Ovis aries: one gene and its partners. The protein of the gene in region 4 purifies or fractionates together with the protein of the main gene of each other region. This does not show direct contact. Links are inferred from orthologs where the notes say so. Each region holds a gene or a part of one and is shown on either strand. Other genes may lie near its edges. The genes, in order: ANKRD44, ANKRD52, ANKRD28 and PPP6R1.

Region 1 (7,364 bases), on a different chromosome or scaffold from region 4:
GAGTTTGCTATAAGCCCAGCGCTGCTGGGAGGACAAGGGCAGCCCAGTAAAACATGTAATGTGCCCCACACTATGGTCTAGAAACACTGCTTTCAAAGTTGCAGGATTTCCAGTTTCTTGCCACTGCCACAGCTGCCAGCCATTGCCTTTGGCAAGGAGGTGAGTGACTAAAATATGAGCCAGGACTTGGCAAGAGGACACCAAACCAGAAGGCCTCCAGGCAGGAAGCTCCAAAAAGGGCCACCTACAGCAAGAATCCTAGAGAAGGAGATGGCATTCTGCTGTCATTAGCAAATTCAGGAAAGAATGGTGAACATTTCAAAGGTCCGACAGAACTTACCATTCTGCTTCAGAACTTTGAAAAACTTTGGGGAGGAGGTACCAGGCCAGGTTGAAGATATGACATTCTTAAAATCACTGCAATGTCTTCACTATATGACATAAAGAACACCCCCCTCATCCCATAAAGTTCAATATTGCAAGGAATTTCACATCTATCTTTAACTAAGATGTATTACATTTAGATGTAAAGAAATTCTTCCCAAACTTAAAATTCTCACTTTATAAAGATATAAATAAAATCCCAATATCCATCGATGAGGAAATAATTACCTTGTTATGTTAATTACATAGGTGAGTGTGTTCTGTGCTGTATAGGGTGATCAGCTTGTCCTGATTTGCCTAGAATCTCCTGGTTTTAGTACCAAAAGTCCCATATCCTTGAAAACCCCTCAGTCTTGGCAAACCAGGAAGATCAGTCCCCCTAACGCTGTAAGAAAAATGATGTGTATTGTGTGAAGGGGAAAACAGAAGAGACACAGTTACAAATGCAGAAGTGCTCAATGCGAAGTCTATTTGCAGCAATAGCTCCTAGTTCCTTTTCATAGTGAAAAAAGAAAAAAAAACTAAACCCCACACTTGCCTCTCCCTTCCTCCTTTCTTTTAACTCTCCCAAAACAGAGCTCGGAAAAGGCATTTTCCTCCTCTTGCATGACAGAGATGTCAGCGAGGGACTGACTACTGAGGAGGTGACCACCATCGCCAGCAAGCTCCTGCACCCAGTTTCAGCAGGACAGGAAATGCCAATTCTTTCATATACACATGAAACTTAACTATTATAAACCAGTTATGTCAATTAAACAAATTATAAAACTCAAAAACAAAAATCTAAATAATAAAACAAAAAAACCCAAGACAACTAGTGATTCAGGTTATTAACACAAGAATGTGTCTTCATACTAAAAGTCCAAGAACTTTGACAAAAACAAGATCCACCTTGCAAACAGGGCATTAAACAAATGAGAGAGAATTAACACGTGATTGTTTTAATACACAGCTGAGTGGAGAGCGAGGCATTTCTACAAACTCGTAAGGTCCAGATCTGAAGCAGGTGGTTCCCTACCATAACGGTGAAGCAAAGCTCCTGTAGTAGGAGTTTAAGCAAAGGATTTTAAGCCTCTGATGAGGTTAAGAACCAGCTTCTAAGAATTTAGAGTTTCAAACTGAAAGGTAAGACTATATAAGGCAAGAAAGACCACACAGTTCCTGGACCTAAGGCCTCCCAGAAACCATAATTGTTCACCACTCTACCCCACCCAGTCCACCTCCTCTCCCTCAGGCTTTGCCCCATAGGCTGTCAACTTCTAGGTGTCCATGAATCTTAGAACTCCTTAGTTTCCTGTTATGCAGCAGGAGATGGAATCAAATAAACATTATACAACCCTTTCTTGCCCTCCACAGTGAGACTAGTTTGTTGGGGGAAGGGTGGGGATGTATTCAAAAACACTTTAAAAGAGAAACTCTTTGAAAAGTTCTACTCGGACAAGTCCTGGAGAATAACTTTCTAAAATCAAAAAATACTTTTCACCAGGGTTGATCCTGATTTAGCAGAGGATGCCTTCTTGTCAGCCTTTCAACACAGCTGATGACAAGACAGCAGGAGATATCAACCATCCCTAGAAGAAAGGACAGAAATCTGGAAGGCAGGAGACAGGAGTGCATCTCTGCCCTACAAGTCCAAGAGCTGTGTCCTTGAGGAAGACTTGCTTCTCTTGTCTAGACCTCAGTTTCTTTGTTAAAAAATTAAGGATTTGGGTGAAGATCACCTTTGGCATCCCTTCCAGCTCTAAAGTTCTATGTAAAATTCTTTTGTGTATGTGAAAATGACAACACCTATTAGAAGCATTTTGTGTACTTTGAAGATGAATATTTAGAGATTAACAGAGAAGTAGAGTAACTTGCAATGGCAAAAGATAACATGACCAAGGCAGACTAAAATCGAAAGATTTAAAACAAATGTCTAACAGTTGTCAAAGTATGTGACTAAAAGGTGGGGGGTTGGGGGTAGGGCTAAACTAATATCAACTTACAAGTACTCTTAAATGCTCTGGAACCAATGGAAACAAATAGATTCATCACTACCAGCTGCTCCTCCTGCTAAATTTAACGATAAGGTTCATTTTAATTCAGTGATCCCTCCCCCATATAAAAAGAAAATTTTTAAAGCCTGTAAATACAGAAAGCAAAGCAAAACTTTGACTCTAAAGGCAGGAGAACAAATTACTGTGGTGATTGATTGCACTTAAGTCTCAGGAAGTTCTGGCTAGATACTGAGGACAGGGAGGCACCAGATGCAACCCACTTGAGAAGTATGAGATGTTTAAACACCAAGGGCTGGCATGTTTGACCGCCTGTGTCAAAGTCAAGTCTGCCTCTCCGCCTACCAGGACCTCAAAACAATGTTCATTTCACTATCCATGAATAAATGGCAAAAGAAATAAAAGGAAGCTGTTTCCTTTTTTCGTAGGAGGAGTTACAGAGTTTTGTCATACAACTTGGCTGGGCGCTTGTGTCAATGCCCTCAGAGCAGCAGCGTCCGAAAAGGTAGGGGTGTCTCGTGCCTCAGACCTCCAGCGAGGACTGTCAACCGAGCTAGCAAACATCCCCACCTCTCCAAGCAAAGGGCTCTAGAGCTACCCCGTGCTATGGCTTAGCCGGAAAGCGACAAAGCTCATCAACACAGGCAGAGGGTAGCCCACCGACTGTGAGTGGAACCCCGGGCCGAACTTCACCTCCTCTAGGGACAGCCGTGCCTGAGATCTCCATCGTGCACGACGCACACACAGCCCCTGGGCTACCAAAGAGGAAGTCAGGGTGTCACGTCAAAAGGATAAAGACAGCCCGACCACACGAGAGCCACGGTCTGGGCCGGTCTCCAGCTTGGCTGGGAAAAGGGTCCCAGGCTGCGATCCTTCTCCCTCTCCATCCACCTTCCTCTTCCCGGCGGCGCGCATCAGCCTCTCTCCCGCCCGCCCGGGCTGGAGGAGCCCAAGCTGCGCAGCGCCGGAGGAGCACCTCGAGCCTCCCCTCCCCCTGCCCAGCCCGGGCCCGTGGACAACGCACCCCCGCACGCCAGCTAGAGCCCCGCCGCCCCTTCCCCAACCCCCGGGGCGCCCCAGCCGCCGAGCCGAGCGCGCAGTTCCGACGGCCCAGGGCGGGGACCGAGCCGGGGAGGAGGGCTGCAGCCGCCGGCTTTCGGAGCAGCCGGCGGCCGCACACACTCCTCCCCTTCGCCGCGAGTAAACAGCTCGCGGGCGCGCTCCGTGCCGCGCCCCCATCCCCCTGCCGGGGCTCCGCGCCGCCCTGCGCCCGCGCGTCCCGCCCGCCGGCGCCGCCGCCCCCTACCTGGTCGGTGAGTTTGAGCACTGCCATTCTTCCGCTCCTTCGCGCGCACACACATACAGGTCCCCGGTCCGCAGATGTCACGCCAGGAGCCGGGGAAGCGGAAGGGATTGCCAAGGGAAGGGAAAAAAATCTGGCTCCCGAATTTGACAGCCCTCCCCCTGCTCCTCCTCCTCCTCCGCCTTCTCCTCCTCCTCCCGCCGAGAGGCTGACACTGGCTAGTAGGGTTTGCAGCCGAGCCCGCCCGCCTTTATACAGGAAGTACCGGCTGCTGCCAGCCGGGCCGCCACTGACATCACCGCGCGTTGCCTCGCTCGCCGCCGCGCCGCCTGGGCCGACGCTGCCTCCTGCCGCCCGCGGGCGCGCCTCGCAGCCCGCGGCTCAGGGTGCTCCCCGGCTCCCGCACCGGGCGCGCCACGGTAGGGTCAGACTGCCGCCTGCTTTCCGCACCTGCACACTGCGCGCGGGCTAGCGGGACCGGGCCCCCCGGTCGCCCACGCTGCCCCCCACGCAGAGCGTACACGTTTAGAGGCCCCCGGGCTGGGGAGGGGTGGGGGGTTGCTGATCGTGACCCCTCCCCTCGCCCTGTCTCACACACCGTCCCCCCCCCCACACACACACACACACAACCTCGTGAGCACTCCCTGTGGATACACCCGAGGGGCAATAAAGGCTGCATTCACTTGTAGCCAATTTCAAATCAGGAGATTGGACCACACGCCTTCCTCTAAACCTCTCCCTAGTCCGGAATCCGCCCAGCTCTTCAAATCATCCCACCTGGTCAGGGACCGCAAGGCTGGTGCTCTCTTTGTTTAATACAAGGAGACCCTGACTCATTCTTTAGCTAGTTTTTGTGAAACTCTTGGAGGGTAGGGAGGTGGGGCTCTGGCCCTTTTACCTTGTTCTCCAGCTACCTCCCTGCTAGACACGCAGAACCCCATCGTTAAATTCAAACATTGGGTTTTGATTTGGGGACGAAGAAGATGGAGCAACGTTACAGGAGAAGAAAAGGTCTTGTACTGCTGCGTTAATTGGTTTTTTGAGGGTTTCCACCAGTTGACCCACTCATTTCTACAAAATCCAGTTACCCTACTCTTCAACAGATAGAAGACCCAGCTGTAAAAGAGCATGGGACACACACACAACAGTAGTATATGTAATCATAGTAAAGTGTTAACCAGACCACCTGACCTGCCTCTTGAGAAATCTGTATGCAGGTCAGAAAGCAACAGTTAGAACTGGACATGGAACAACAGACTGGTTCCAAATAGGAAAAGGAGTACGTCAAAGCTGTATATTGTCACCCTGCTTATTTAATTTATATGCAGAGTACACCATGAGAAACACTGGACTGGAAGAAACACAGGCTGGAATCAAGATTGCCGGGAGAAATATCTATAACATCAGATATGCAGATGACACCACCCTTATGGCAGAAAGTGAAGAGGAACTCAAAAGCCTCTTGATGAAAGTGAAAGAGGAGAGTGAAAAAGTTGACTTAAAGTTCAACATTCAGAAAACGAAGATCATGGCATCTGGTCCCATCACTTCATGGGAAATAGATGGGGAAACAGTGGAAACAGTGTCAGACTTTATTTTTTGGGCTCCAAACTCACTGCAGATGGTGACTGCAGCCATGAAATTAAAAGACACTCCTTGGAAGAAAAGTTATGACCAACCTAGATAGCATATTCAAAAGCAGAGACATTACTTTGCCGACGAAGGTCCATCTAGTCAAGGCTATGGTTTTTCCTGTGGTCATGTATGGATGTGAGAGTTGGACTGTGAAGAAGGCTGAGCACCAAAGAATTGATGCTTTTGAACTGTGGTGTTGGAGAAGACTTTTGAGAGTCCCTTGGACTGCAAGGAGATCCAACCAGTCCATTCTGAAGGAGATCAGCCCTGGGATTTCCTTCGCAGGAATGATGCTAAAGCTGAAGCTCCAGTACTTTGGCCACCTCATGTGAAGAGTTGACTCACTGGAAAAGACTTTGATGCTGAGAGGGGTTGGGGGCAGGAGGAGAAGAGGACGACAGAGGATGAGATGGCTGGATGGCATCACAGACTCGATGGACGTGAGTCTGAGTGAACTCCAGGAGTTGGTGATGGACAGGGAGGCCTGGCGTGCTGTGATTCATGGGGTCGCAAAGAGTCGGACACGACTGAGCGACTGAACTGAACTGAACTGAATACTTGTGGAATTTGGAGCAAATGCTTATTCATTCCTGGAGAAGGAAATGGCAACCCATTCCAGATTCTTGCTGCCTGGAGAATCCCCATGGACAGAGGAGCCTGGTGAGCTACAGTCCGCAGAGTCGCAAAGAGTGGAACAGATGGAGAACAGTGTGGAGATTCCTTTAAAAATTGCAAATAGAACTACCTTATGACCCAGCAATCCCACTGCTGGGCATACACACCGAGGAAACCAGAATTGAAAGAGACACATGTACCCTAATGTTCATCGCAGCACTGTTTATAATAGCCAGGACATGGGAACAACCTAGATGTCCATCAGCAGATGAATGGATAAGAAAGCTGTGGTACATATACACAATGGAGTATTACTCAGCCGTTAAAAAGAATTCATTTGAATCAGTTCTGATGAGATGGATGAAACTGGAGCCGATTATACAGAGTGAAGTAAGCCAGAAAGCAAAACACCAATACAGTATACTAACACATATATATGGAATTTAGAAAGATGGCAATGACAACCCTGTATGCAAGATAGGAAAAAAGACACAGATGTGTATAACGGACTTTTGGACTCAGAGGGAGAGGGAGAGGGTGGGATGATTTGGGAGAATGGCATTCCAACATGTATACTATCATGTAAGAATTGAATCGCCAGTCTATGTCTGACGCAGGATACAGCATGCTTGGGGCTGGTGCATGGGGATGACCCAGAGAGATGTTATGGGGAGGGAGATGGGAGGGGGGTTCATGTTTGGGAACGCATGTAAGAATTAAAGATTTTAAAATAAAAAAAATAAAAAAATAAAAAAAAAAAAAGAGTGGAACAGGACTGAAGCAACTTAGCATGCATGCACACTTAGTCATTCAACAACTATGTACTGAATGCTGACTTTGCACCAGATGCTGGATAGACACAATATGAAAGGGGGAGCATAAACATCCAAGATACCTAGTCAGAAGATGTTGGACATAAATAATCACCGCTAATGAATGTAATTACGGACTGAGATAAGGGTTCACAGGGGAAAAAAATACTTGTAAAGAAATCCATGACTGAGGAATCAAGCCAGGCTGGTAGGTGAAGATGGGTTTCCCTGAGAAAGTGACAAGAGTTGAGATTCTGCCAGAGGAAGAGTTAAGTGGGCAAGTGGATGGGGTGCTGCTCCCAGGCTGGCCCACGTGCCCCTGGCATGTCATGGAATAAACCTACATTGAACAGCAAACCGAAACTACAGTCAGTTCAGTTCAGTCGCTCAGTCGTGTCTGACTCTGCAACCCCATGAATCGCAGCACGCCAGGCCTCCCTGTCCATCACCAACTCCTGGAGTCCACTCAAACTCATGTCCATCAAGTTGGTGATGCCATCCAGCCATCTCATCCTCTGTCGTCCCCTTCTCCTCCTGCCCCCAATCCCTCCCAGCATCAGAGTCTTTTCCAATGAGTCAACTCTTCACATGAGGTGGCCAAAGTATTGGAGTTTCAGCTTC
Region 2 (7,331 bases), on a different chromosome or scaffold from region 4:
AAGAATGAAAATCGAGGCTTAAAGACAGGCGGGCATCTGCTTAGTTATCCAAATATGAATACAGTAGTGTACTCCAGAGGGAGAAGGCAATGGCACCCCACTCCAGTACTCTTGCCTGGAAAATCTCATGGACAGAGGAGCCTGGTGGGCTGCAGTCTGTGGGGTTGCTAAGAGTTGGACATGACTGAGCGACTTCACTTTCACTTTTCAGTTTCATGCACTGGAGAAGGAAATGGCAACCCACTCCAGTGTTCTTGCCTGGAGAATCCCAGGGACGGGGGAGCTTGGTGGGCTGCCGTCTATGGGGTCGCAGAGTCGGACATGACTGAAGTGACTTAGCAGTAGCAGCAGCAGTGTATTCCAGAAGGACACTTTGCATAGGAGGGCTTTAGGACCACTTCCGGCCTCCTTATCCCCACGCCTTGCATCTCCTTGAGCCCTGGTAGTAACTGTGTTACCTACATCATATCCTTTTTTCCCTATTGGGAAATCCTCTTTCTGTGCTCTGAATAATATTAAAAATAACTCTTCTAGCCCTCCCTCCTCCTTCCAGCTGCCCAGAGGACCTGGCTGGCAAACTCCCTTGTTCACTTCCACTCAGGAGCCAGACCAGGCACGTGACCCCAGTTCAACCTCTGACTCCAATTCCTCAGGTTACCAAAAGCTATTTTGGGCAATGGAGGCCATGTAGTCCCCTCCTCCCCATCCTCTGGGCCATATCCTAGGTTAGCCCTTCCTGGAAGGTCTGTCAAAGCCAATAGATAAGTCAACATGTCCCAACACCCCTATCCATCAGATTCCAAGCTACCTTCAGTTTCTACTTCTTCAGCCTCATCTTCATCATCATCATCATCATCAAGCATTAAGTGTCTGTTCTGATATACTTCTCTCCTGGAGCATCCTTTTTTCATAGAAAAGAAAACCAACATACAGTCCAATGTTGGAAGACTCTGGCTAACAAGGAGCTTAAAATCCCTTCTGAAACACTGGATTCCTGTATGTCAAAGATGTAAGGTGAAAAAAACAATAAAGATGCGCAATTTAAACTTGATTGTGATTGCAATATAGAGAATACAGCCAGTGTTTTACAATAACTATAAGTGAAGTATAACCTTAAAAATGTGAATCACTATGTTGTACATCTGCAACATATAATATTGTGCATCAACTATATCTCAATTTTTAAAAGTGGAAAAAAAAAAACCATCCAAAACAACAACCTGATTGTGACAGTGTAAACTAAGTATAGAAGTGTTAAGGAGACCTGTCAAAACTAAAAGAAACTGTTAACCAGGAAAGACTTTCTGGAAGAGGTAAGTTTTCAGTAAAACTGTGAATTTTGTTTTCAAAATGGTAAAAATTTTTAAAAATTAAAGGTATATACTGATAGGTAAATTTCTCTCTCATTCCTTATTCCCTGTTCCCCAGTTTTTCTCTCCAAGAAAAACCATTGGCACTTGTGTATTTTTCAAGGATCAAGATGATGAAAGTGATGAGGGTCTTAGATTGTCAGAAGGCAAAGGAGGGCTTTTATACCTCTGCCTATGTGTTCCTCAGATTACATATATTGAGTTGCTGAGCTCGGCACAGGACACTGAATCTTTTATAAATTGTATATAAATTCTTCAATATCTACTTTTCTTTTCTCTTTTTGCCTTTTTGGGAAGGTTGACCTCCATCTAGATCTTGCCTGATTAGCCTGGTCTCTCCAGTGGAGAAGTACCTCGACCTTTTTCTGGGGAGAAACTGATGAGTCTTTTAAAATGTAGCCACCCTACCACCTTAACCTGGCAGTGGAGTAATTAGGCAATGGAAAAGCCCCCTTCTGTTGGGCTAGGAGTCTTTCAGTTGCCAGCTAGCCAGCTAGCTATTTTATCCTCTCTGTGGGGTTTTCCTGCAGCTAAGAATCCTTGAGGGTCCCCCCACCCCCACCCCCCACTCCTCTGCAGTTTGGGCACTTTTGCTCTTTCCTTTCTACCCAACTCTTGTCACCGCCAGCGGAGATACGCGCCTTCCCTGCGTCTGGGACTATTGCCATATATAACCCCCAGATCTCCACGCCCGGCTTCCCCAAGTCAGTGGGGAATGTTGAGTTGTGTGATCGCGGACCGGAGGCGTTCGCTCGGCGGAGGCATTGTGGGCTGAGTGAGATCTGGCTCGCCATTTGGTCTTCAGTTTGGAAGGCAACGCAGGAGGGCCGAGGCCCGAGTTGCCGCTAGGATTTTGTGGAGCATCTCCCGGGGGCTTCAGACGAGCTAAGAGCCCGGCGCGGCCGGCCTGAGGAGCTGGGGAACGAGGGCGCGAGGTGGGGGTTGCCCAGGCCGCCGGGACCTCCGGGGCAGGGCGGAGGGCGCCGCGGCCTGGGGCAGCCTGCGCGGCAAGCGCCCTGCGGCCGGGCCCCCGACGGCCGCCAGGGAGCGCTGCGGGCTCCCGCTCGCCCGCCCCCCGGTAGGCGGGGCTGCGCTCTCCCCGCAGCCGCCGCCGCAGCCGCCGCCTGGGCCGCCCCGTGTCCCCGGTGGAGCCGCCGCCGCCGCCGCCGGGAGCTCGATGCGGACGGAGCCCGGGCCGGGCCATGGGGATCCTCAGCATCACGGACCAGGTCAGCCCTCCTGCCCTCGCTCGCTTCCTCCTTCCAGGGCCCGACGCCGCCGCCACGCGAGCCCGGGGATGTGCGGCCTAGGCTGGGCCCGAGCCCGGGGCTCCCGCCCCGCCCCACGCCACGCTCCCCTCAACCGAGCCGGTGTCCTTGGGGGCCTGGCGACTGGCGGAGACACCGTGGAAGCCCCCTGCAGCCAGGACCCCAGAACGAAGCCCCTCCGGCGTCGCCCCCCATCTCAAGCCCGGTGTCCCCCGCCCCCCTCCCCGGTTCCGCTCCGGCCCGCTCCCTGAACGCCGGTTCTCCCTGCAGCCGCCCCTGGTCCAGGCCATCTTTAGCCGAGATGTGGAGGAAGTGCGTTCCCTCCTCTCGCAGAAGGAGAACATCAATGTGCTGGTGAGTTGAGATCAGGGAGGATGGCGAACCGGTAATCTGGGCCCTGGCGTTCAGGACCCCTCCCCACGCGTGGGGCGGCTCCGTGTCTGTTCGGCTCGGGGGAGGCCGCAGCTCTTTCCACCCTGGGATGGGCGACTGCTGTACATTGGGGATGAAGAGCAGGGCAGTCTTGGAGCACAGACCAGTAGGGCTGAGGATGCCCAGAAACGGTGTTCTCTTCTGAACCATCCGTGTCTGCAGCGCCCCCACCCCTCCTGGAAGAAGGAGGTTGCTTCGCTGCCGGTGGCCCCGACCCCCTGACTCCACCCTCCTAGGTCCTGGCTTTGACCTAGGATTGGGGTTTAAAAGGCCACAGAACCTATGCGAAGAGGTTGTGGGGAAAGGCCTGGAGCACTAAGACTTGGAGTCCTGGGTAGTTCACCCCCATAGCCGCTCCTCTTCTCTGCCTTACCAGGACCAAGAGAGGCGAACTCCACTGCATGCTGCTGCCTACGTAGGCGATGTCCCCATCCTCCAGTTGCTACTGATGTCAGGTGAAAGTGGGGAGCTGGAAGGTGTGGTGCCCAGGGAGGGACCTGAGGGAGGAGCCTATTTGTTGTATCCAAGGATGGTCCAGCTGGGTCCAGGCGAGGTTCTGTCTCCATCTACATTTCCAGGCCTGATTCTGGCTTTTCTTCCCCACCTGCTCTCCAACTCCCACCAAAAGAGCATTGTGTCCCCACAGGTGCTAATGTCAACGCTAAGGACACACTGTGGCTGACCCCTCTTCATCGCGCTGCTGCCTCCCGAAATGAGGTACTGGCCTCCTCGCTCCTCTCTCCCTTCCGAAGCAGATGAGTTAGTTAAAGGTGGATGGCAAGGGTTGGAGAGCCTTAGTCCACTGCCCCACAGGTTATGGTCTACCCCCAGGTTGGGAGGAGACCGGACCTTGGCCCCTCCCTCCTACCCCTGGAACTGGCTGGTAAGGGGGGTGGGGGCTGAGTGTTGCCAGCTGATGTGACGTCAGGGGAGAGCTTAACACTGGGCTGGCAGACTGCAGGGGGCCCTGCTGCCAGGCCTTAGTGACTCATCCCTCCCAGGGGGGCCGCCTTGGAGTCTGACCCCCTCTGGGCACTAAGATTTCTTTCCTTGTGCTTGAGGGGTGGGGGGTCGAGGGGGAGTGGTTTGTGACATCCCTGGCCCTTAGGCAGCCTAGAAGTTGATAGCGCAAGGATCAGACATACCTAATCAGTTGGGCCCCTCAATCCTGAAGAGCGGGAAAAGATGACCTTCCTCTTGATTTGGCAGTCATTTCCCCTGGCTCCAGCCACTAGGGAATGGGAATGGGGTGGGTGGTGAACAGGAGGGGCATTTTAGCTCCTCTCTTCCTGGAGAGCCAGTATCTGCTTACCTAGGTAATAGAGATGATTTTGATACCTATGGAAGGATAGAAGGGGGTATTCAGGGCATTAATGTAGTGGGAGCATTTATCTTTCCTAAAAGTGGTGGGAGGTCAGGAGCCTCTATATGGGGATCTGCTCGGTAGTGGCTGTATGTGTGGGTGAAGATTTTCAGGGTATGGGTTGGGAAACGATACCAGGTGACTTGAGGAAGAGTTCTGTGTTTTCCTCAGCAAGTTAGGGAAGATTTTAAGCTCAAAGAAAATCCAGAAGATGGAAAGTGGGTATTGAAAAGCTCACTGTGTTGGAAAAACGCGAGTAACTCTGTGCTGGGGTAGTGGGGAGAGGGGACATGTGTTCTGTGCTGACCGGTTCTCCCCTCCATCTCCTGTTGGTTTACCTCCTGCTCCCCCTTTGTCTTCTCTTTTATCCTCCGCCCCTCCACAGAAGGTGCTGGGACTGCTGCTGGCACATTCAGCAGATGTGAATGCCCGGGACAAGCTGTGGCAGACACCATTGCACGTGGCTGCTGCCAACCGGGCCACCAAGTGTGCTGAGGCTCTGGCACCCCTACTGAGTAGCCTCAACGTGGCCGACAGGAGTGGGCGCAGTGCCCTGCACCATGCAGTGCATAGTGGGCATCTGGAGGTGAGGACCACTCTGGGCCACGCCCAGCTTCCTGCCTTTTTCCTTCCCTTCCCACCCCCCTTCCCCTGCTTCCAGGCCATTAGGCCTGGGGAGCAGCAGCCCAGACGATTATATAAATACTTGGGCTCAAGCACCAAATGAATGGTTGGGTTAGAGGGGAATTCTTGACTTGGACCTCAAGAGGGTGATAAAACCTCTGAAGCTGCATGGAAAATGTTTGCCTGCATGGCTTTTTCTGAAGGGAGAGTCCATGTCCTTCAGCACATTTAGAAAACTTCTTTGAAAGAGTTCAAAAACCACCAGATCACCTGAAGAGACTCTCTTGAGTAGTTTACCTCAGATTTCCACATCTATCTGGGTTCTCCTTAGTGCCTGCTTTCTTCATTCCCCCTAGTTCTCTGTTCTGCCCAAGAACAGAGACATTGGGCTGCCTCAGCCTTTTCAGGTGCTCTTAGGTACACTGAAGACAGGAAGCTGGCTCTGAACAGGTGTCTTTGCTGTCCTGCTACAGACGGTGAACCTGCTCCTCAATAAGGGAGCCAGCCTGAATGTTTGTGACAAAAAGGAGCGGCAGCCTCTGCATTGGGCAGCTTTTCTAGGTAAGAGGAGAATCGGGGGATGAGCAGGATTTGGGGTTCCTCGGGCAGGGATGTGGGCTTGCAGCCTTTGGAGGTGCTCACCCTCCATGTCCTTCAGAGAATGCTCTCCCTTCCCAGGGCATTTGGAGGTCCTGAAACTGCTGGTGGCACGGGGCGCAGACCTTGGCTGCAAGGACCGCAAGGGCTATGGGCTGCTCCATACAGCTGCTGCCAGTGGCCAGATTGAAGTGGTGAAGTACCTGCTCCGGATGGGGGCTGAGGTCAGGGTGCAGAGCATGGCGGAGGGTTTGGGGTGAGGCCAGGGAGCTGGAGTTCAGAATCTCTTTGGGAGATAGGAGGGTGCTGGGGTTCCTGGTGTGGTTTGGGGAGTTGGAGGGATGTGGTGAGAGGATCTGAATAATGCTTGTCTTAAGCAGAAGTGCCTTCAGTCTCTGGGTTGGGAACCTTAGGAGTCTGAGGCCATTGTTGGATTTCTGGGACTCTTTAGGCTATCTGTGCCGGCTTCCACTTTGTTTAAACTGATACCTCCCTTGTCCCCTGACCCTCACCCCTGGAAATCCAGATTGATGAGCCCAACGCTTTTGGAAACACAGCTTTGCACATCGCCTGCTACCTGGGCCAGGATGCCGTGGCGATCGAGCTGGTGAATGCAGGAGCCAACGTCAACCAGCCGAACGACAAGGGCTTCACGCCGCTGCACGTGGCTGCCGTCTCCACCAATGGCGCGCTGTGCTTGGAGCTGCTGGTCAACAACGGGGCGGATGTCAACTACCAGGTGCCTGAAGGGAAGAGTCTGGGGCTAAGGGGAGAGGACGCTGGCTCTGGGGGTGCTGACCGTATCTACCCCTCTGGATAATTCTCTGGGGAGTCGTCTGCTTGTGTCCTGAATTGACCAGACCTTCCCAGGAGAAAGTGGGTTGAGAAGATGTCCCTATGGTCACCCTATCCTCAAAGATGTGTCCTTTGGAAAGGGTAATAGGGCACGCTCCATGCTTTGCACTAGGGGAAAAAATGCTGTGTCTCCACAGAGCAAAGAAGGGAAGAGTCCTCTGCACATGGCTGCCATTCACGGCCGTTTCACCCGCTCCCAGATCCTCATCCAGAACGGTATGGACTTGGGAGTCTTTGTGACCTTTTCTCCTCCCTCCTCAGAGAACTCATCTCTAGAGACCCCTCTTCCTCCTTCTACCTGCCACCCCATCTTCAGTCAGGACAGGCACCTGGTGCTCTGGAGCAAGGCGCCTGTGGAAATGGCCCTGCTCCGCCTGCCCAGCCCCTCTCAGATGGTGGCTCACTACCTAATGGGAGTGGCCTGAAGCCTAAGGGTTAGTTCAGTGTGTGCGTGCGCTGCCCCCTTTCAGGCAGCGAGATTGATTGCGCCGACAAATTTGGGAACACGCCACTGCATGTGGCCGCTCGCTACGGACACGAGCTGCTCATCAGCACCCTCATGACCAACGGCGCGGATACCGCCCGGTGAGTGCGGAGACCCCCGGCCCCACTTCCAGGCTGCTTCAGACCCCAGGCTGGTGGTGGGGCTGCAGCTGGTCCCCCCTGAGGACTGAGTCCTTTACCTTTTTGCAGGCGCGGCATCCACGACATGTTTCCCCTGCACTTAGCTGTTCTCTTTGGATTCTCTGACTGTTGTCGTAAGCTTCTTTCCTCAGGTATGAGCTCACTGGTTTGAGGGTGGGAAGGAGGGCAGGAGAGCAG
Region 3 (7,150 bases), on a different chromosome or scaffold from region 4:
ATACTCTCCAGGATACCCCAATTATATAAAGTAACCAGCACTTCATTTAAAATAAATCCTGAATGAGGTAAATGTTTCCAGTAAATATAAACTTAAACACAATGTTTAAGGGAAAAATGTAATAATAGCATTTTGGTTACATTTCAGAATGTGAGGATGAATCATTTTAGCTAACGATTCAAATTTACTCAGTTAATTCAACCTTAAAAAATAAGATACTTCTTATATCTACTTAACATCAAGTGGTCATGATACACTGTCCAAAAGAAGAGGGGAAAGATGAGTGCTGGAGATGAGGTGGCAGAACACGGCTTTCTTAGAACTGGCCAATCAATTCCAGGTCATCTGTTTTGCTGTTGCTATAGGGACCTTATGAATCACGACTTCTCCCTACTCTCCATCATTTAGAGAACTGAATCACGTATGAAAAAGATACTGAAAACATTAACTTCCAGTAAAAATATATACAGTAAAAAATTTGATGTTATTATAGTTAATTATATATTCTCACCCACCTCAGCTTAGTAAATTAAAAAGTTTTGCCACTGGAGAAACATACACAGAATTAGCTACATAGCCACTCTCCAAAACTGTCCCTCACATCAGTCCTGAATGTTAAATCCACTGTATCTTTAAAAGTCTGAAGAACTTTCAAACAATGTTTTTATTTACTGTGATACCCAAATAGATGCATCTTTGTGTATAATGTTTACCATGATTACTTACAGAAAGCAATTTAACCTCAGAACCAAGTTAGATATATTATAAATTTAAGGCATGTCTCTTATTCTAAGTTCACAATAAAGAATCCTCATCTGAATATTTAACAGTGAAGTGTCATGATGTCTATAACTTACTTTCAAATGGGATTCAGAAAAAGAATAAATATATGTGTAGTATAAATATAACTTGTGTAAATATTGGAGAGAAAGCAAATATGGCAAATGTTATCAATGCTGGAGGTTATATGGCTATTCAAAGAAGTTTTTCAATTTTTCTGTGAAAAATTTCAAAGTAAAAGGTTGGGGGAACAGAAATCCTTCACTGACTCCTACTTGTCCTAGGTTTTAGTAATTACCCTGAATATGCACGTCCAGTCCTTTCCTTTTTGCCTCAAGACCTTTCTACCTTTGCTTAGAGAAACTTACAGAATTATGTTAGGTCTTTTAACAAAAATCATCAACTCTAGCAAAGTACGCTTCAAGGCTGGTATCAGTGAAACTGTTTTACCTGAAAGTTAACATCTTCTTTCTTAAATATTAGTGCTCGAACTTCATCAGGATCTCCATTAAATATAGCTTGCACCAGTGAGGGCTAAAATACAAGAGAGTAATAAAAACATTAATCACACCACAGGGATGATGCTAAAGCTATTTCCACATAACTTTTAAATCTAAGATTTTTCTTCCCTATCACAACAAAAATCACTTGGCTTTGGACACGAACCAAGTTTCATGAAGTCAAATCATATGAAAGTACAAGATTCCTCTGAAATCCCTGGAAAAAAGAGTAGGCCTAATTGAAAAAAAAATCAATTCCACATGACCAAAATTAGGTAGTATTATAACCATAATTAGATTTTATATGAGTGGAAACCTTTTTTTATACAGATGGTAAAAAGAAAGTATCTTCCAAATAAATACAAGTGAGACATCTCAACACATACTTGTAGGACACAGCTCGTCAAACAGGCATTTGACAAGGAGCCCACAGAGGAAGCCTCTTTGAGCAGCTCTGTTCCGGGGACCCGAATAATTTGCATGAGTTAGCATTCCATGTGTAAAGATAAAAATCCAAAGAAAACCTGACAGCTGATGAAAATCATTATTATTCAAAGACCAAAAATTACTATAAATCTGAGTAACATGAAGAAGCAGACACATGCATGTCTAAATGTAACAAGTTCTTAATCAACGATATAGCCTCTCTGATAAGGTAACACATTATACTCTCAAACAAAAAGTTAATTGATAAGGTTTAAAAATAAAATTAAAGATGAAGTCTGATTCTTTTTCTGTAACAGCCCTGCATGTAAATATATAAAATTCACGACAGAGAAGGCTGTGTCTCGGTGTTGCTGACAACAGTCAACTTTCCTAAAACATACAGTTCCTCATACTTGCTACATTAGTTTCTAAAACCACAAAGTAAAAACTGAAACATGGGTGCTATAGCCTACTATCCTCAAATTATTTTTTAAACTCATTTTAAGAGATTAAGAGATAAAGTCTGAAATGTTACCGAAACATCTGAAAAAGTGAAAATAGGAAATGTGTGCATTTATACACAAGTAATATTACATCATACTCACACACCTATATTGCTTTCACTTGAGTTTTTAATGAAACTAGCGGAAATTAATTTGCATTTATTCTTAAAAAATAAAATTTACCCTGCTAGTTCAGTAAAAGATAGTAAACATATAAACTCTCGTATCTTACCAATACATTTCCCGAAGGTGGAGAATGTAGGGATTTATTTTCCTGTGGCAATTTAGAAATGAATGCAGGAGACTCATCTTCTACCTCCTCCAAAACAACAATACACACTCGACTCATTCGTTCTTTTAAAAAGCTGAATTCTAAGCTACGTGGTAAAAGTCACAGTTGGAAGAGCACAAGTAGCTTTTCCTCCTCTTCTGTACAGCACTTAGAATCATCCTCTAAAAAGCACAGCTGGTGTTTTTAAAGTTAACAAGCACTATCAGAAAAACTAAAGCTTAAAATTATAACTACATAACTCCCTAAAAAAAGAAAAAAAAAAACCCCAATTCTATTATTTTCTGTCAGTTAACTGTAAAACTTAGAAGAAATTTCACATCAACATGTCAAGAACTAAAACTGAGTCCGGAATCAGCTCATTTAAAACTATTTTTCCGCTACCAAGATAGTCATATTACTACTCTGTTTTACAGAAATTCACTTGCATAAAAAGATCACTGTTCGGGTGATAGCACCACACACAACAGAATAAGACGAGAAGCAAGTGCTGAGACAGACGGTCACAGCGATGCCCACTCCTGCCTGCAAGGTCATAGTTACCAGCAGCTGGCTTGCTTATCATTGAAAATAAAATATAAAATCTCACTATTCGGTTTCCACTTCTAATTTGTCTTCACTTCTTCAGCTTCGCTGGTTTAATACAGATACTATCCAGAGGAAAAAAAAAAACAAAAAACTATAGCTAGAGCTCTCAAAACGTTGCTCAGAGGTTGACAATTCTTTCTGTGTTTGAGAAAGAAAAAAAACAACACTCTGCATTAATAGCAAAGCTGCAGTACATTTACATGCAATGAGTCAGACCACAAGAGACAATAGGACTCTTGGTACTAGAATACGGCTTGATTAGTCCAGATATTCCATATAAGAGAGGAAAACAGTTAGCTTTATTCCCATCGACAGCACAGGAAAAGCAGAGTGTTCACTGCTCCTCCATCAGGCAGTGGTCTGTGGCTGCTTCAGCGAAAGGGCACAGGCACCAAGCAGACGCGGTGTTAGCGGAGAATCCTAACGGAACAGGCAGGCTGTGAAGGAATTAGAAGGCGTCTGAGCTCAAATTACGGCTTCAGGCTTTTCATTTTTAAAAAAGAGAGGGAGAAAACTCCAGTAGTTTATCATTCCAGTGTTTTCTTTGATCTCCACATGAATGCAGCTTCCATCAAAGAGTCTTCATTCAGAGGAAAAAACAGCAGACTGTGCATCTTCTCTGAGCCAACTACTTTATTCAGTCATCTGCCTCTGTGCCAATATAGTTTCCTTCCACTGTGAAAACCGCTACAGTTTTCCTTTTCAGTCGATTTCAGATGCTTTCCTGTTCCTCATATGATCTTACAAACCGCCACTGACACCTCCAAATGAGTAGTAGGTCCTTAAAAACCAGAGAACCTCAGGATCGGCCCCATTGAAGCATTCCAACTGAGCAACACTCTGAAGAGCAAGGACTGCAGAACCGCAGGGTGAAATGCCTAGTAATGCTCACATGTTTCACTTACCAGAGAGCTGAGCTACTGCTCCGGATGTGACTTCCTCTAGCAGGAGAAAAAAACGGTGCGTTTGGACAGCCTTCACAATTAGAAGGTTCATGCCAGTTCTGTGACTAATCCAGATCAAACTAAAAAATTCTATAACTGAAAAATGAGTGCGCTTTTAACATTTTCCACTAAAAGCCACAAGGAAATCTGGTGTACTGCCTCTGCTGACTAACAGTGGTTTTAGCAAGTAAACAATTCCAAACAGTTTAACTGCTTTCGTATGTTGCAATATGGCAAATGTTTAACCCTACAGTGACAGCTGCAGTGAGAATGCAGTGAACCCATGAAAGAACTAGAGATGGAGGAGCATTTCATGAGAACATAAATACCATAAGCCCAAGGTTTTCTGCCTATTTCCTCTAGACCATTTTTAATCTACTAGATGTATGTTATTTTCAAGAATGTAAAGAAGTTTACACAAAAGAAATTTAAGATTTACTAACAACTTGAGTTGTTAAATTCAGTCAACCAAATCATATTTTGAAAGAGAAAAATGAAAACCCCATATTGGAGAAATTCTAATTGTAAAATTCTACTAATCACTTGAATTTCACAAAAGAAATAATACTGTCTTCCCATCTGGATGTGGAACAAAGCCTTAAAATCTGTTGAATAGCTACATAAATCTATTCTTTCAAGTCCTTGGTAGTGAATTATCTATATGCCAAAAAGGTAAAGGGTTAACACAAAGCAAAGAATCTTCTCCCTCCCTATAAAAGTAATTATCCTGAAGCTACAAATAAGTGTCAAAAACAACCAATTTATAATTGGCTTTCTCCATTTCCTCCCCATTTCTTGGTTTTATTCAAGGATGGGGTTATTTTCCCACAGAAAAATGACAAAGAGAATACTATGATTCCGCCTCAATCTTTGTTTTCATCTGTCAACCAGCATTTTTATTAATAAACATAATAGCTATTCCTGTGCTAAATGTTACATTCTCATTTAATATTCACAATGGCCTTGCTATATTCCCATATGTACAGAGAAAAAACAGACTTAGAAATTATTATATCCATAGTTGGCAAATTAGTAAAGCTGTACCTAATTGTAAACACATGCTCTTTCTAATCTACTCTGCTTCCACTGACTATACACATACACTCTCATCAAAGAGTTCTGTGATCTATAACACCAGACTGCAAAAGTGATCTTAGGAGACAAACAATCTCAATGATTGTGAAAAGTTTAGGTAACAAAGTAACATACTATTTACTGCAATAATATTCCCAAACAAGTTATTTTTAAATAGGTTCTTCAGGGCTAATGTTACCTCACACACTTAAGTCAGTTGATTTATCAGAACACTAAAAAAAAAAAAAAAAAAAAAAATCCAGCATAATATAAACAAGAAAGCCAGAATTTAACAACAAAACCCATTATCAATTTATGTAAAAACCTATAATCCTAACGTAACTGTACTAAAATGTGCTAAAAAAATCACTTAGTTATTTTTAAAAATGTAAATGGTTTTCAGTCAAATTAAAGACATGCAAGTATTCTGACATGCATGAAACCACTATAGTAACAATATACTGTCACTGTCAGGGGGCCTCACCCCTCAAACAAAATCTTTTTTTTATACAGACAATTTTAGCTTGTTCTAAAGTCTCCAGTATGTAAGTTCACCTACTTAGACCTAGGCAAGTACATCCTGTTTTCTTGCTCTAGGTTAAATTCCGTACTTTGGTTTTTCCCAAACAGAAAGCAAGCTCCTTGAAGGCAGGGGCTATGTTACATACATATTGTTTCCTCCAATATCTTCCGTCTGTAAATAGTCTCACTGAAATAAATTCTATTATGTCACAAGACTCTGGAATAGAGTGGCAAAAATATGAAAGACAGTGGGGGTAGGATTCATGTATTTTAACCAGTAAACATGGTGGTATTAAAGTGCAGCAAAATGAATGCTGTGTCTCTAGTGGGAGAGCAGCTTAAACCTGTAAGTTGACAGCATATAAAACAATGATACTGAATGACAGTTAAAGCTGTGGGCTCAGCAGTCAGCCTACCTGGAGTTCAGATTCCAAGACAAAGCTGTGTCTTTGAGCAAGCTGCTTTAGTCCTTGAGTCTAAGACTTAGACTTCTGAGAATAATAATCTCCAGAGATGTTCACCTTGGAGACACACTGTAACAGAACAGTGACTGAGAGGATAGGCTCTGTAACCAAACTAATCTAATCCGGCTTCCTACTAAGAAACATAACTGTGTGACCTTGAGCAAGTAAGTTACTTAACATTTCCGTGAATCATTTCAGTATCTATTAAAGAGCTGAACAGAATCTACTTTGTGGTGTTATTAAGAGTAAAGTTTAAAATAAAGATAATAGTATTACTACAGATACTTAGGATAGTTAAAAGATATTCCTTGTGAAACCCTGGATACTGACAACCTGCCCCTACTGGGGAGGTGATTCCGTTTGGGGGTCCGGAGATTCCATCCTGTCACTAAGTCTCTACCCTTTTCAGGCCTCTAGAGAGCCTGCTAGAAACTTGTCCTCACACCCCTGTAACCAGACTAGTGCTTACCAAGTGTTACTGGGGAAGAGAGCAATAAACTGAGGCAAGAGGTTTTTGTATTCCTCCACATTCACTGTATTTCACAGTCTAGGGAAAGAGCAAGAATAAAAAATATTGGCCCATAATACACTAAGTTATTAAAAAAATACTGAAATATTGTATGTTAACAGTGCCATACAGCACTGTTTTACATTTCCTATTGAATATGACAGGCCCCCTAATTTCAAGGAATTCACATCTTAAAGGAAAAGGACACAGGTAAGTGAGAACTGAAAAAACTGCTGTGGTTTAGTCACCAAGTCCTGTTCCGACATTGAGCGACCCCATGGACTGTAGCCCAACTAGGCTCTGTCCATACTGGGCAGGAATACTGGAGGGAGCTGCCGTTTCTTTTTTCAGAGCATCTTCCTGACCCAGGGATGGAGCCCAAGTGTGCTGCACTGGCATGAGGAGTCTCTATCGCTGAGCCATCAAGGGAAGCCACTGAAGAAATCAGGAATGGAGAAAATGAATAGGATGAAAAATTGACAGTAACTGTGCAAATTTAATGCAACAATGGGTTTTTGCCGTTTTCAGTTGAACAATGCAAGAAAATGCTTT
Region 4 (6,668 bases):
GAATAAATTTAAATGTATTGCTTAAGAATAAATGTAACAAAAGCACCATAAAAGTTAATACTCTGAAAACTACAAAACACTGTCAGAAGTAACTAAGACCTAAACAAACGTAAAGACAGCCCAACTTCATGGACTGAAAGACAAAATATTGTTAAAATGGCAACACTCTCTAACTGACCTATAGATTCAAGGCGATCCCTCTCAAAAACTGGCTTTCTCTACTGAAATTAACACCTGGAATTTCTAGGAACTGAACCCGGAATGATCAACACAATTTTAAACAGAACAAATTGGATGCTCACATTTTCAATTTCAGTACTGAATTTCAGAATTCAGTACAATGCAATCAAGGGGCGGGGGGCGGGGGGGGCGGGGGCGGCACTGGCATAGAGATGTACAGACCAATGGGCCAGGAAAGACAGGCCAAAAATAAATGCTTGCACAAACAGCCAAAAAACTTCTGACAAAGGTGCACAGACCATCCTGCAGGAGTCTCTTCAACTTGTGAGCTGGGACACGGGCATTTCCACGCCTAAGAATGAAGCTGGACCCCTCAGCTTACACACCTAAAAAACTAGCTCACAACAGGTCAAAAACCTAAACGTTAAGAACTGACATTACCAAGAAAACCACAGGGATGAATCACGACCTTGGATTCAGCAATGACACGTGTTAAGTGCAAAGCAACTTGGCAGTCACACAGGGCACAACCACACCTACCCAAGGGACGGGCCTCACTCATGGGATAAGAGGCAAAAACTCAAAGGGCAAGGGTCAGAAGAACATCACCCTCGGAGGGCAGCGGGCAGCCAGCAGGGGCTGGGGAGTGCTGCACTCTCCCCTCTGGGTGCCACAGAGGGAGGCCCATGCGGCCGCCACTCATGACCTGTCTCATGACCTGTCTCGTCATCTCAGTGCCGGTCACATGTCACAGGGCTCAGCCCTGAGCTGGTGTTCACGCCGGCAAGTCCATGCTGCCCAAGAGCAGTCAGTCAGTGCTCCTGTGCCAGCCACTGCCCGCACAAAGGGCTGGACACGGCTCACAGGCCCGCAGCTGGACTGTGAGCAAGGACAATCGCCACGTCCTGCTTCACTGGCGTGACACCCCACTGCCCTTTTGGCAAGAACACGTGCGAGAGAGCTGCCGCAGGGGAGAGCGGAATAGAGGGCGGGGTGGGCAGACCACAGCCCCACTGGACCAAGCCGTGCCAGAAGGACCACCTCTGATGCCCCCACTGGGCCAAGCTGTGCCTGAAGGACCTGCCTCCTGATGGCCCCACTGACACCTGGACCAAGCGGTTACTCCTCTTGAACCTGAACGCATCTGAATTGGGTTTCTATCACTCAACACTGAAAACTGCCCACATCACACACGCACTCCATTCTCCTTGTTTTGCCCACAGGTCCTGCAGCCCGGCTGCGCTGGGGAACCTGCAGGAGAGGAGGGGAAGGGAGCGGGGGGACTCACCGCACGCCCGGGGCCTGGCCCAGGCGGCCCGCCCTGGCCAGCTGGCCGCCCTGCCAGGCACCGTCCTCCCCGTCAGACTCCCCAGAGCCCTGGCCCTCCTCCTCGTCCTCCTCGTCGTCGTCAAACTGCTGGATGCGGTCCTTGTAGCAGATCTCCAGCAGGTTGGCATTGGGCTGTGGGGGCAGGGCAGGAGGGTGAGGTGGGCCACCTGCCCGCAGCGAACCCCCACCCCCAGCAGTGGTCGGGGCAGCTCACGTTGTCGTCGTCTGCACTCAGGGAGAAGGTGATGCTGGCCGTCTTGTCGAAAGGCGCGCTGTTGGGGAGGCACAGAGGCAGTGAGGGACCCTCTCTCCTGGGCCCGGTCCCAGCAGACACACCTCCTTCTAGGGCTGTCTGTGGACTGCAGCCATTCCTGCGGCATCCCGTCAGCAGGGTGTCTGCAGGGCAAGGCGCCCTGCCCGTGTGCCCGCAGTCACACGAGGCCCCACGCAGAGACCTAAGGCTCCTGCACCTTGCTTCCTCTTCATGAAACAAAGGACACAGAACCTCACCGGGCAGGCTAGGCTTTCAGGCTTTGACATCATAACCTGAGTGAGACATCCATTTCGAGGCACACAGGCCCCCGAGGCAGGGCCCAGGTAGGGGCCAGGAGCCCAGGGATCACGGGCAGTTCTGTGCCCACCACCACCTCGCACCCCCAGCCTTTCTGCGTCCACACGTGCCCACCAGTCTCTGCTCGGCTCTCTCCCCTCCAGAAAGCCGCACAGAAGCGCCACTCCTGGATGAAGGAATCAAATCCACACACTTTAAGTCCTGACCCACACCGTGGGAAGAGCTCTGCCCACGTACGCTCCGACCTGCACACTGCAATTTTCCAACAGCCGCTGCTGGCCCTGCTTGCCTCTCTCCCAGGGCGGGAGAGCACCATGTCTGCACTGAGGTCTGGCCTCTCCTGTGCCGGGGCTGCTTCCAGCCTGTTGCCTGCTGTCTCCGACCCAGGAAGCACGTTCACAACCCCCGCAGGCTGACTTGGCTCACAACCCCTACCGAGGCAGGTACCCCAGCGCCCTCAGGGGAGGGAGCAGCTGCGGGCACGGCTGGAGGCCCGGTGAGCAGCGCCTTAAGCCCTGAGTTTGCAAACATATTTTCTGTTCCAGGAGACTTCATGGCTTTAGCTTTTTTTTTTTTTTTTCCAACATTTAAAGCTTTCACCTCATTGGCGTTTATCTTGATGAAAGAGGTGACAGTTTTGTCCTAACAGCGCAGCCGGCTGTGCCCAGGCCACTCTCTGAGCCCCCTGGCCAGGGTCTCCTCCGGGGCCTCCCAGCACACACGGGCCAGGCAGAGCGGCAGCTGGCACAGGTTGCACTTCTGCTCCCAGGGGGTCTCTGTCTGCCTCGAGGCACAACAGACAGCAGCTGGTGCCCTGTCTCCCTGGCTGCAGACGGGCTCCTGAGCCGAGAGTGGTCTTGACAGGTAACTGCGTGACACCCGACAGGGGCCCAACACGCTGCCCACAACAACACAGGTGGGGCCACAACTGGGAAACCCTGCCTGGCACGCCCCGCGGAGTCGGCCGCTTTCCCCCCGGGGATCCCAGGCGGATCTGCTCTGGGACACTGGCCGCGCTGGTCACTGCACACGGCCCCAGGGCCCAGCGCGAGGCTGCAGGCAGCCGCCCCGCTCCCCACCAGTCTCCTCTCTGGATCCCAGGTGCCTGCCCTTCCCTTCACTGTGCACCCACGGCCATCACAAGGGTGCTCGTAAAACCAACAGAACAGCACAACTTTTAACTGTCTCTCGGTTAAAAGAACCAACGTCCATGGCAGAAAATTCGGACAATCAAGAAAAAAGTTCCAGGGCAGTATCAGAGCAATCGATATTGACGTGCGGTACAACATATGCAGAGAATCAGAACCGGTCACTGAAAAGGACCCTCCCCGGTCGGCCGAGGCCTCTGAAGGGGAGGGGAGGCAGACGAGTTCTGAGTCTGTGAGGGTGCGCAGCCAGCCTCGTGTCCCAGGACGCCCGCACCGCTCCTGCCCGGGGGTGGAGGGTGAGAGGCCGGCAGCCGGCAGGCTGAGCCCGACCCGGGCCAGGTGGGCATGGGTACGCCGGACACGCACCATGTGAGTGCGCGCTGACTCGCCGCCTCGCGCCCCTCCGCGCCTCCGCCTGGCCCACTCACTTCACACTCTCCTCCTGCTCCCCGAACTCCTCGTCGTTGAAGCCGAAGTGGTCGATGAAGGCCGAGGTCATGCGCTGCATCTGGAAGTCCATGAAAGCCTGCGGGGGGCGGCAGTCAGGGCAGGCCTGCACACAGCCTCCCTCCCCTGCCCTCCCTGCCCGCACCTGCTGCAGCACCGCCTCCTCAGGAAAGTTGAACTCCTTGAGCCTGTCGTCCTCGTCGTCGCTGGAGGAGTGCAGGTGGTGCGTGTTCACCTAGGTAGGGGCGGGAAGGGGTCAGGGCCTGCGGGGCCCGGGGAGGCCTGGGGCAGGAGGAGCTTCGGGGCAGGGGCGGGGCCGGGCCTGGAGGAGAACCCGGCGCAGAAAACTCACCAGGTCTACCGTGTTCTTCTTGTTGGTCTCCGCCAGGGGGCCCGACACGAAAGCCTCCCAGCACTCCCGCTGCTCCTGCGGCAGCTCTGCCGGAAGGGGCGGTGTGACGTAAGGACGGAAGCCCCGCCCGCGCCGCCCGCTCCCATGCGCGCCCCGCCCTCACCCTTCAGGAGCTGTTGCAGCTGCTCTGCATTGGGCCCTTTCTCCGAGTTCTGCACCAGGGCATTGGCCACGCTCGTCAAGTGGCCCATGTAGCCTTTCCGAGGGCCCCCTGCAGACCTGGAGAGAGGGAAGCCAGCGCTGGACTCGGGCCGCCCGGCCCCCTGGAGCAGGCCCCGCCCCCGCCCAGGAGCCCCCTGCTCACTGGACTCGGTCGTTCTCCTCCCAGGAGGTCAGGATGCGCTCCACCAGGCGGCACCGCTGCAGCAGCTGCGGGGGTGGGGCGGCATGCACTGGGTGTGAGCATAGCACTGCTGCCCTGCTCACCTGTTCTGGGCCCACTCAGCCTGCACAGCAAGCCCCAGAGCCACCCTGCCTGCCTGCGCTCCAGCTTTGCCCTGAGGCCAGGGCCACACCCAGGAAGGCACCTCCAGGAGCGCAGGGGCCATCACCCCAGGAGAACCCTTCCTGGTCCCCCCCGGATACCCACTGCCCCCGAGGTCACCACTCCACCAGTCCCCACCCTTGCACAAAACTGTCTGTTTTCCAAGACTCTGGACCTCCGGAAGAGACCAAGACTCTCCCCCTGAGCAGAGCTCCCCAGAGACCAAAGGGGATGGGGATCCCGGAGCCCAGCTCACATGTTTCACGACAGGGTTCTCGGGGGGCGTGTCTGAGCTGCTGTCGGCAGGGGGCGCGGAGCTCAGCATCGTGCTCACACACACCTCCACTTGGGCATGCAAGAAGTTGTTGAACACGTAGTGGAAGAAGAGGTCCTGGGGGTGAGGGCACAGGCTGGCTCTGAGCAGCTCCCCCAGCGTCGCCCCACCCCCGCCCCCTACACCCTAGCCCTTCGCCCCCAGTACCAGCATGGTGTTGGGCACATCCAGGGCCAGGAGCTCCTGGGTCAGGGCAGCGTCGTTGGCGCTCAGGGCGCTGGCCAGCAGCTTGACCACGTGCAACCGCGTGTTGCCCAGGGGTGGGGCCAGGCTGCCCCACGTTGTGCGCAGCGGCTCCAGCTGCAGGTGGAGGGCTGGGCTTGGTTCCTGCCCCAGCTCTGCCCTGACCCCAAGGCTGCACCCCCCGCTTCCCCCGAGCACCCTGCCCACCTCAGGCGGCTCCAGCAGGAGCTGGTGGAAGCAGCTAAGACGTGGGCGCAGGGCGTGCAGGGCCCCCGCACTGGACACGGCACTGTCCAGGGTTGCCTGGGCCAGGAGCTCCAGCTGTCCATCCACACTACTGAAGAAGTTGTTCACAGTCATGGACTCAGACCTGCAGCGGGCATGGCAGGGGGCAGTGTGAGCCACGCAGGCGGCCTGTGCACACGTGTACATGCACACACACGGCGGGGGGGGAGCCCAGGCACTCACCTGGGCCTCCTGGGCTCCAGCAGTGTCAGCAGCACCTGGATCCCACTCACGAGGACGGACGGGCTCCGCTCCCCCTCCAGCATGTTGCTCAGGAGCTGATCGATGGTCTCCTGCCTGGGGCAGGCGCGGGGGCGTCAAGGAAGAGGGCCCGGGACAGCTCCCCACCCTGCCTAGGCGGCCCCGCAACCCACTTCTCCAGGGTGGCCAGCAGCTGGTCAGGCTCCGGGCTGTCCTGCACTTGGATCATCTGCTCCCGGCTCAGGCGGATGATGTCACACAGGGACTGGGACGCGTTGGAATGTTGCTGGGGAGGGAGAGAGAGCTGAGGACCCCGGTCCGCCCTGGCATCAGGAAGCTCCACGCACTGGAGGGGGGCACCTGCCCTCGAGGACAGAGGGCCGCACAGACCCGGGGAAACACGTGGGAGGGAGAGAACATAGGCACTGGGAAGGAGAGACTGCCGAGAGAAAGGGAAACCAAAGAAGACTTCCTGGAAAAGGAGACTCTGACACAAACCCCACACATGCCATCTACAGCCAGTGGCCAAGGGGTGCAGCGACCCAAGCACGCACGAACTCAGGACCGGACAGGCCACCAAGGTCCGTCCATACAGTGAAACACTGCTCAGCCTTAGAAAAGGATGGAGCACTGAACACAGCTGGGATGAACACAGCAACCTGCTGCTAAGGCCAGGGGCCAGTCACAGGCAAACCCGAGTCACGCGTTGCACCTACAGGAAACCACCAGGAGCAGCAAAGCAGGACGGAAAGCAGACGCGTGTCTGCAGGGGCCCAGCCCCCATGTGGGGAACAGGGAGCGGCAGCTGAGGGGCCTGGGTCTCCTCTGCGGAGCGAGGAAGAGTGCTCTAAAACCAGCGCCACGAAGGCGGCACCACCCTGTGTGTACACTGAACACACTTCTGTGTTTTCACTGGGTGAGCCTCACAGTGTGGGATAAGGTGCTGCGAGATGAACTGAGAGAAGCACCAGCAGAGCCCTGAGTCCAACCCAGCAGGCGGCTGCCAGAGCCCAGCACGCAGACCCCCAGAGCCCCCCCCGGCCACTGCTGCACCTCAGAGCCCCGCACCGAGCCCTGCCACCTAGCTGCCAGCA

Evidence for each region.
Region 1: the proteins of PPP6R1 (region 4) and ANKRD44 purify together in Homo sapiens (co-immunoprecipitation; 5 studies listed by BioGRID and IntAct, counting the BioPlex papers as one, with this or other methods). This does not show direct contact. The link is inferred for Ovis aries from reciprocal best matches to the Homo sapiens genes PPP6R1 and ANKRD44.
Region 2: the proteins of PPP6R1 (region 4) and ANKRD52 purify together in Homo sapiens (co-immunoprecipitation; 3 studies listed by BioGRID and IntAct, with this or other methods). This does not show direct contact. The link is inferred for Ovis aries from reciprocal best matches to the Homo sapiens genes PPP6R1 and ANKRD52.
Region 3: the proteins of PPP6R1 (region 4) and ANKRD28 purify together in Homo sapiens (co-immunoprecipitation; 4 studies listed by BioGRID and IntAct, with this or other methods). This does not show direct contact. The link is inferred for Ovis aries from reciprocal best matches to the Homo sapiens genes PPP6R1 and ANKRD28.

The regions. Positions count from the first base shown.
Region 1 is NC_056055.1:199,622,258-199,629,621, forward strand, and holds the start of ANKRD44 (serine/threonine-protein phosphatase 6 regulatory ankyrin repeat subunit B), read right to left. Parts: upstream 3,794-7,364; 5' UTR 3,712-3,793; coding exon 3,685-3,711; intron 1-3,684. UniProt on the Homo sapiens protein: Putative regulatory subunit of protein phosphatase 6 (PP6) that may be involved in the recognition of phosphoprotein substrates.
Region 2 is NC_056056.1:163,291,300-163,298,630, forward strand, and holds the start of ANKRD52 (serine/threonine-protein phosphatase 6 regulatory ankyrin repeat subunit C), read left to right. Parts: upstream 1-2,447; 5' UTR 2,448-2,572; coding exon 2,573-2,599; intron 2,600-2,908; coding exon 2,909-2,992; intron 2,993-3,446; coding exon 3,447-3,525; intron 3,526-3,716; coding exon 3,717-3,787; intron 3,788-4,818; coding exon 4,819-5,019; intron 5,020-5,530; coding exon 5,531-5,618; intron 5,619-5,735; coding exon 5,736-5,878; intron 5,879-6,180; coding exon 6,181-6,393; intron 6,394-6,646; coding exon 6,647-6,725; intron 6,726-6,979; coding exon 6,980-7,094; intron 7,095-7,202; coding exon 7,203-7,285; intron 7,286-7,331. UniProt on the Homo sapiens protein: Putative regulatory subunit of protein phosphatase 6 (PP6) that may be involved in the recognition of phosphoprotein substrates.
Region 3 is NC_056054.1:273,858,579-273,865,728, forward strand, and holds the start of ANKRD28 (serine/threonine-protein phosphatase 6 regulatory ankyrin repeat subunit A), read right to left. Parts: upstream 3,990-7,150; 5' UTR 2,559-3,989; coding exon 2,442-2,558; intron 1,315-2,441; coding exon 1,231-1,314; intron 1-1,230. UniProt on the Homo sapiens protein: Regulatory subunit of protein phosphatase 6 (PP6) that may be involved in the recognition of phosphoprotein substrates. Involved in the PP6-mediated dephosphorylation of NFKBIE opposing its degradation in response to TNF-alpha.
Region 4 is NC_056067.1:63,001,020-63,007,687, reverse strand, and holds part of PPP6R1 (serine/threonine-protein phosphatase 6 regulatory subunit 1), read right to left. Parts: intron 5,861-6,668; coding exon 5,748-5,860; intron 5,671-5,747; coding exon 5,557-5,670; intron 5,459-5,556; coding exon 5,296-5,458; intron 5,206-5,295; coding exon 5,053-5,205; intron 4,963-5,052; coding exon 4,828-4,962; intron 4,457-4,827; coding exon 4,392-4,456; intron 4,307-4,391; coding exon 4,191-4,306; intron 4,114-4,190; coding exon 4,028-4,113; intron 3,911-4,027; coding exon 3,821-3,910; intron 3,755-3,820; coding exon 3,657-3,754; intron 1,782-3,656; coding exon 1,724-1,781; intron 1,642-1,723; coding exon 1,469-1,641; intron 1-1,468. UniProt on the Homo sapiens protein: Regulatory subunit of protein phosphatase 6 (PP6). May function as a scaffolding PP6 subunit. Involved in the PP6-mediated dephosphorylation of NFKBIE opposing its degradation in response to TNF-alpha.